Linked DNA regions of Canis lupus familiaris. The protein of the gene in region 1 purifies or fractionates together with the protein of each later gene. This does not show direct contact. Links are inferred from orthologs where the notes say so. Each region holds a gene or a part of one and is shown on either strand. Other genes may lie near its edges.

Region 1 (4,261 bases):
TAAAAAGGTAAAAATAACATGAAGGTATAAGAGTGTGATGTTCTACGATAAAGGATTCCTTCCCAACAAGGTCTCTGAAGAAAGCCTTCTCCTTTGCATACTTGATAACATTTTTCAGGGAGGAAAAATTCCTTCTATCCTGTCTCCCATGTGAGACCTTTAACTTCATGCCTTCAAAGAAATATGAGGAAGTGAGAAACCAAAGTAGAAGGACAGACAGATCTAGGGCACCTAGGTGGCTCAGTTGGTTGAGCATCTGCCTTGGGCTCAGGTCATGATCCCAAGGTCCTGGGACTGAGCCCCACATTGAGGCATTAGGCTCTCTGCTTGGCAGGGAGTCTGTTTCTCCTTTTCCTTCTGCCTGCTGCTCCCCTTGCTAATACTCTGTCAAATAAATAAAATCTTAAAAAGAAAGAAAAAAATCTAAAAATCTTTCAATTTCACACACTAATGTGAAATCTACATCTACACCCTAGTCCAAATATCCCTTCCTGAGTCTCATCCACGAGAAAATACTTTAGACACAATTGGTCCAGTTAAGCCACAACCTGTCCAGCCACATCCATTAACGCATATTCAGAGACTTCAAGTTGCATTTATGGATTACACGTACATCATATTCATAAGAATAAGCCTTCTACTTTTGAATCCCCTGCTGCTCCAAGATCATTGCCATAAATGTGTTCATCTTTATATATTATATCCAAATATAATACTTCAGGTATTGCTATTAGGGAAAGAATTTTCCACAAAATCAGAAAACTACATCTAAGTATCAATCCCTTATTTTGTCACTCATGCTCCAAGTAATCTGCTCTTGAAGGATTATTTATAAACCAAAACACGCTTAAATGTACTTAGAGCAGTGGCTAAAGAAATTCTGTAATTTGTCTTTTAACAAGACTGATCCTTTTGTAATGCAGATTTGGTGAAATCGTCATCGTATCTTTTTTTTTTCTTAAATCAAAACTAAAACATAACTTCATCACACAGAATTGTGTATTTATCCCCACCAGTATACGGGCTTTCAATTTAAAAATGAACAAAGAAACGAGATCTTGCCAAATTCCCCAGTGCCATACATGTGCTGCTGTAAGAAATATATTTGCCTCTAACATGTAAGGATACTCTAACTGAAAAGGGACAACAGCGCGCTTCCCAGATCGGATACTATATTAATATGCAACAAGAGAGAAATAAACCATGACCATTTTTAATTAAACAACCATCTCTAAGCAGCTGTGTACAACGCGCTGTGGCTCAAACGGCTCGCGTGGAATTTGGAATTCGACCGCAACAACCTAATCTCCATAATTAAAGACCTAAAAGGTAGTTCTTGTGTTTCATCTATTCCCTCTCCCGGTACTTTGAGCAGGTACACTGTAGTCGTTCCACACACCGTTGCTATAAAAAAAGGGGGAGGCGGGGGAGATGGAGGGCAAGAAGGACTTGAAACCAGCTGTATTCCTATAAAGGAGAAACTGCATATCCTTATTCTCCTTTCCCCCCAACCTGATTTTATAAAACTAGCATGATCTCGTTTTCACCGCAAGACGGGTTCTAGCTCCAGCAAAGCATTAAAAACTGAACCACAGTCCCGCCGCAGGACAACTTCAAAGGACACCTGATGGAATGAGGAAGATCTAACGGGCAATTCACCCGAGTCCCTTTACCACCCTTGCTTTCCTTGGAGTTCTAAAGGAGGCAAAAAAACCCCAAAACAAACAAAAAACAAAAACAAAAAAACCAACAAACAACAACTTTTAAACGATTATCTGCAAAGATCTAAAGCTGGTACTAACTGGAGGCTAAGTTACAACGATGACAACAACTTTTAAACGATTATCTGCAAAGACCTAAATAAAGTTGGCACTAATTTGAGGCTAAGTTAAAATGATGACAACTTATTTTTTTATAACAACAACTTTTAAACGATTATCTGCAAAGACCTAAAGTTGGCACTAATTTGAGGCTAAGACGATGACAACAACTTTTTTTTTTTTTTTTTTTTGATAACAACTTTTAAAAGATTATCTGCAAAGACCTAAGGCTGGCACTAATTGGAGGCTACGTTTCAGGGAAAGTTCAAAAAAAAAAAAAAAAAAAAAAAAAAAAAACGAACAGTCCTACCCTACGAAGGGTATTCTCGTAAGGAGAAGTCACTCGGGACCTGCAGCACTAGAAAGGCAAAAAACTTCATTAATTCCAATGCAAATATGCTCGACACCATCATCAGGTGGGTAACTCTCCCCATCTGTTTAAGGAGGAGAGCAGATCCTCTGTCATTTCCGACAAGGAAAGGAGAGGAGGGAGGGGAGGGGAGGAGACGGGAGGGGAGAAGAGAAGGGGAGGGGAGTGGAGGGGAGAAGAGGAGGGGAGCGGAGAAGAGGGGAACGGAGAGGAGCATAGAGGAGGGGAGGGAGGAGAGGGGAGCGGAGGGGAGAAAAGAGGAGGGGAGCGGAGAGGAGGGGAGGAGCGGAGGGGAGAAGAGAGAAGAGGAGGGGAGAGGAGGGGAAGGGACGGGAGACGTGGGGAGAGGAGGGGAGGGGAGGGGAGGGAAGCAGCGGGAGGAGAGGGGAGGAGAGGGGAGCGGAGGGGAGCGGAGGGGAGAGGAGGCCAGCGCCCTCCCGCCGCGTCCCGCCTGCCGCGGCGCCCAGGGCCCGGCTCTCCGCCCGGCCCCGAGCCCCGCGGCCCCGCAAGGGCGGCTGCGCGACAGCCCGGCGTCCCCGAGAGCCCCGGGAGCCCCGGGAGCCCCGGGAGCCCCGGGAGCCCCCGTCCGCCGGGCGCGGGGCGGACGACACACACACTCACCGGAGCGGAGCCCCCGGGGAGGCGCGGAGGCGGGGTGCCGGGGCCCTGCCCGCGCCCGGCGGACCCCAACTCCCTCCGGCGGCTGTGGCGGGCGGCGGCTGGGGCGCGGCGCTGCCGGCTCTGCCGCGAGGGGCCGGGAAGCCCGAGCCCGCGCTGCCCCCGTCCGCCGATCCCGCCGACCCCGGCTGCGGCCACAGCCGCGGACACAACTACCGCTGCAGGCGCTCGCACGACCGCTCCCGCCGCCGCCCGGCCCCGAGCGCGTCGCGCCCTAATGCTGTCATCCGCCGCGTCGCCGCCGCTCCGGGCGCCTGGGGCCGCCGCGAGCCTTCCCGTCCGAGCGCCCGCCCCCCGCAGGCCACGCCCCCGCAGGCCACGCCCCCGCTCGCGGGCTCCAGCCCAGCCCCACCTTCCCGTCACGTGCCCGCGCGCGGAGGAGGCGGCGGCGGCGGCGGCGCCCCCCTGCGGGCCGGGCCGGGCCGGGCGGCGGCGGCGCGGGAGCAGCTGTCTGCGCCGCGGGATTGCCTGCGACCTGCGTGGGGAGGCCTCCTGGACCCGCCTCACAGGGCCCCGCCTAATCCGAGGAGACTGCACCGCGCGGCGCCTGGGCAGGGCTCGGGATCCCACGACCGCGCCGTGAGGCCGGAAGGCCCGGAGGCCCGGAGGCCCCAGAGGCCTAGAGACCCAGGGGCTTAGAGACCCGCAGGCATGGAGGCCCAGAGACCCGGAGGCACAGAGGCCAGGAGACCCAGAGGCTTAGAGACCCCGAGGCCGGGAGACCCAGAGACCCAGAGACCTACAGACCCGGAGGCACAGAGGCCCGGAGACCCCGAGGCTTAGAGACCTGCAGGCATGGAGGCCCATAGACCCGGAGGCCAGGAGACCCAGAGGCCTAGAGACCGGGAGACCCAGAGGCCCAGAGACCCGGAGGCCGGGAGACCCCGAGGCTTAGAGACCCGCAGGCATGGAGGCCCATAGACCCGGAGGCCAGGAGACCCAGAGGCCTAGAGACCGGGAGACCCAGAGGCCCAGAGACCCGGAGGCCGGGAGACCCCGAGGCTTAGAGACCCGCAGGCATGGAGGCCCAAAGACCTGGAGGCCAGGAGACCCAGAGGCCTAGAGACCTGGAGGCACAGAGACCCGGCCTGGAGGCCCGGAGACCCAGGGGCTGGAAGGCACGGAGGCCAGGAAACCCAGAGGCCTAGAGACCCAGAGGCCTACAGACCCGGAGGCACAGAGACAGAGACCCAGAGGCCTAGAGACCCAGAGGCCAGGAGACCCAGAGGCCTACAGACCCAGAGGCACAGAGGCCTGGAGACTTGGACGCACAGAGACCCGGAGACCCAGAGGCAGGCCTAGAGACCCAAAGGCCGGGAGACCTAGAGGCCTAGAGGCCTAGAGACCCAAAGGCCGGGAGACCCAGAGGCCTAGAGACCCGGAGGCCAGGAGA
Region 2 (3,646 bases), on another chromosome or scaffold:
AAGAGATGACTTGACCTTCTAGCTCTGAATCATCCTTGGCCTTTGTCAGGATACCATGGCAGAATTTAGGAATGTCAGCTTTACAGGCTTTCCTTAACACAGGGTTTAAGCGGTAATCTAGAGTGGAAAGTCAGAAGTGCATGATAAAATATTCCACCTTGATTCACAAATATTAGAGATTTACCTTTCAAAAGGGGGCACTTTATGTTAACGACAACAAACCACTGATTTATTTGCTCAACACTGGCTGAGCTCTCACTATGCTGTTTTTTTTTTTTTTTAAAGATTTTATTTATTTATGAGAGAGACAGAGAGAGAGAGAGACAGAGAGAGAGACAGAGGCAGAGACACAGGCAAAGGGAGAAACAGGTTCCATGTAGGGAGCCCGATGTGGGACTCGATCTTGGGTCTCCAGGATCACGCCCTGGGCTGAAGGTGGCACTAAACCACTGAGCCACCCTGGCTGCCCTAACTATGCTGCTTTTAACCAGCAATAGAACTTAATGAAAGAGTAGATGTGGAGACGAAGACCCCAGAAATTCTCCTTTGCAGCAGCTCTGCAGGGTCTGCTGGTACCAGTAGTAGTTCTCACAAAAATCAAGCAGTCATCCCCAACCTTCCCCATAACAGATGTTTTGGAAAACACTGAGTGAGAATACCCACTATGTTACAAAGTCTTGGAACTCAGAGCAGAAACTTCTCTGTTCTAAAAGACATGACCCATACATTCTCCCACCCCATGCACGAAGTTTTGTTAAATCTCTAGACTTTTCAAAGAATTCCAGCTATTACTCCTGTCTCCTCCTTCCTATGATTTTCATTCTGATCTCCCAGATACTCTTTGAAGAAGGAAGTCAATTTGCTTATTCTACCCTTAAAAATCCACATACAACAAAACTCCTGTAGTTTAATGAGGGAGGTATATATCAACTCAGTTCCACTGGAGCCATACTCAGTTGGAACCAGGAAAGCCAGGCCACGACGTTACCTGTGTTCTGGGTGATCTGGCGCTTGGTTATCATCTGTTTGCATTTGGGATCCATCAATTCACTGTTTTTATTTTGCTTCAAGCACTGCAACATGGTTTTGGAATCTGCTTCTGGACAGAACCTCTGCAAGAAATAAAGTTTTACATAAGTATTTGTTTGTTTGTTTATTTATTTGAAGTAGTTATTTAAATACAGCAATTAACATCATCCATATCATTCTTTCACCTACTGGTGTTCTAATGACAGAACAGGCTTGAAGATATCACTTGGTACAAGAGAAACAGCTAAGTCTGTATACGCACCCAGCCTCAACTTCCCTTTTCTTCATCCATCTATTCTCTACTATATCTCTCATGGTTCTGCTACCCTCACTGTTTCCTATTTTGCACAGGACTGAATCTGTACATACATGGCTGTTATATTACATGTCATCTCCTGAGCTTATATACTGTTTAAGTATGAACATAACACTGTACCAGGTGGGCCAGGTCACCCACAAGTCCTATCTACCCAATCCCAATGGGAAACTTAAAAATCACCCACGAGTCAATGTCAACAGTAATGTGGGGAAAGGACTGGTCTAGTTCATCTTTTAACTATAGGGGCTATAATCTTACTAAACTGTGTGGCTAGCCCCTGAACACTTGTTAATATCCTTCAAGTAAGAGAGATCCATTCTGGACTAATAATAAATTCCATCTCTATGTGCTAATCAACAGTCTATCTGCTAATTAAAGTCTACTGATATCTTAATACAGGTTGCTGACGTGGCTTGCTGACTGATTTTTATAAAAGTCATCAAAATCTTACACAATGCCCTGAAATCAGAGTCTGATATTTCTGCTTTTACATGGGACTCAAATCTTTTTTTTTTTTTTAAAGATTTTATTTATTTATTCATGATAGTCACACACACACACAGAGAGAGAGAGAGAGAGAGAGAGGCAGAGACAGGCAGAGGAAGAAGCAGGCTCCATATAGGGAGCCTGATGTGGGACTCAATCCAGGGTCTCCAGGATCGCGCCCTGGGCCAAAGGCAGGCGCTAAATCGCTGAGCCACCCAGGGATCCCCTGAAGTACCACTTTTTAAAAAGATTTTATTTATTTATTCATGAGAGATGGGGAGGGGGGCAGAGACACAGGCAGAGGGAGAAACAGGCTCCATGTAGGAAGCCTGACATGGGGGGATCCCTGGGTGGCGCAGCGGTTTGGCGCCTGCCTTTGGCCCAGGGCGCGATTCTGGAGACCCAGGATCAAGTCCCACATCGGGCTCCCAGTGCATGGAGCCTGCTTCTCCCTCTGCCTGTGTCTCTGCCTCTCTCTCTCTCTGTGACTATCATAATAAATAAATAATAAAAAAAAAAAAATTAAAAAAAAAAAAAAAAAAAAAAAAGGAAGCCTGACATGGGACTCGATCCCGGGTCTCCAGGATCAGGCCCTGGACTGAAGGTGGCGCTAAATAGCTGAGCCACATGGGGTGCCCAAGAAGTACCATTTTATTTTAAAGTATTATTTTATTTTTAGGTTGATTTTAATAAAGCATTTTATTTTAAACAAGGCATCAGAATCTTAGATTGACTCTCTTTATTTATGTGGATAGATCCAGGAACTGGCATCTAGGTTCTCAAGTCAGCCCTGCTGCAGAGAATGTTTACTGGAGAAGTGTATGAAACAAAAGAACTCGTAGAACAGAAAAGCCTTTTGATTGTGGTAGGTGGATGATCAGGACATTTGGTGGTGGCTTTCTCAGTATACCTACCACTAACCACCCTAAAAGACTAATCATATATTCACTGATTATCTATTCACTTGGGCCTTAGGTAAAAGGGAGGTCAGTTAGCTTAGCTCAGTGGTTTTCAAATTTGAGCCTGCATCAAAATCACCTGAAAGGCTTGTTAAACCTCACAGCCCCGCTCCTAGAGTTTCTGAATCAGTAGATACAAGGTGGGCCCAAGCATTTGAGTACCCAGGTGATGCTGATGTGGCTGGTCTAGGGACCACACTAGGAGAACCACTGTGTCATCTGTATAAAAAAGGTTGAATGGAAAGATTACACAAATTTGCTCTGAAGTTTAAAGAAGCTGATGTTATTTTTATTTTTTTATTTTTTTTTAATTTTAATTTTTATTTATGATAGTCACAGAGAGAGAGAGAGAGGCAGAGACATAGGCAGAGGGAGAAGCAGGCTCCATGCACCGGGAGCCCGATGTGGGATTCGATCCCGGGTCTCCAGGATCGCGCCCTGGGCCAAAGGCAGGCGCCAAACCACTGCGCCACCCAGGGATTCCTGATGTTATTTTTAATTACCCTGTGCTTACCCCCTGGTTTTGGATCCCTTACCTTTATCATCTGCTTGCAGACTCTCATGAGCGTATAGTCTAGTTCTGGGTCCATCATCTCTGTCTCCTGCAGCTTAAAAACTTTCTGGTGGCAACGGGTACTTAGCTGCTTCTTGTTTTCTTTCAGACATTCAATAATCTAGGGCACAAGAATCATGGTCATGTTAGGGGGTGTACCAGAGCTTGATAATCCATGTGCTCTGACTGTAGCCTTCAGTCCTGAATGCACTCCCCCTCTTTCATTCCATTCCTAATTCCTAAGCAACAGGAATCAGAATTTGCTCAGCAAGGAGAATTACATTTATAGATTCACAGCTT

Evidence for each region. Proteins that work in one complex are often made in the same cells at the same time.
Region 2: the proteins of OSBPL8 (region 1) and GLG1 purify together in Homo sapiens (co-immunoprecipitation; 3 studies listed by BioGRID and IntAct, with this or other methods). This does not show direct contact. The link is inferred for Canis lupus familiaris from reciprocal best matches to the Homo sapiens genes OSBPL8 and GLG1.

What each region holds. Positions count from the first base shown.
Region 1 is NC_049236.1:19,605,485-19,609,745, forward strand, and holds the start of OSBPL8 (oxysterol-binding protein-related protein 8), read right to left. Parts: upstream 2,918-4,261; 5' UTR 2,812-2,917; intron 1-2,811. UniProt on the Homo sapiens protein: Lipid transporter involved in lipid countertransport between the endoplasmic reticulum and the plasma membrane: specifically exchanges phosphatidylserine with phosphatidylinositol 4-phosphate (PI4P), delivering phosphatidylserine to the plasma membrane in exchange for PI4P, which is degraded by the SAC1/SACM1L phosphatase in the endoplasmic reticulum.
Region 2 is NC_049226.1:76,731,246-76,734,891, reverse strand, and holds part of GLG1 (Golgi apparatus protein 1), read right to left. Parts: intron 3,468-3,646; coding exon 3,330-3,467; intron 1,113-3,329; coding exon 989-1,112; intron 118-988; coding exon 1-117. UniProt on the Homo sapiens protein: Binds fibroblast growth factor and E-selectin (cell-adhesion lectin on endothelial cells mediating the binding of neutrophils).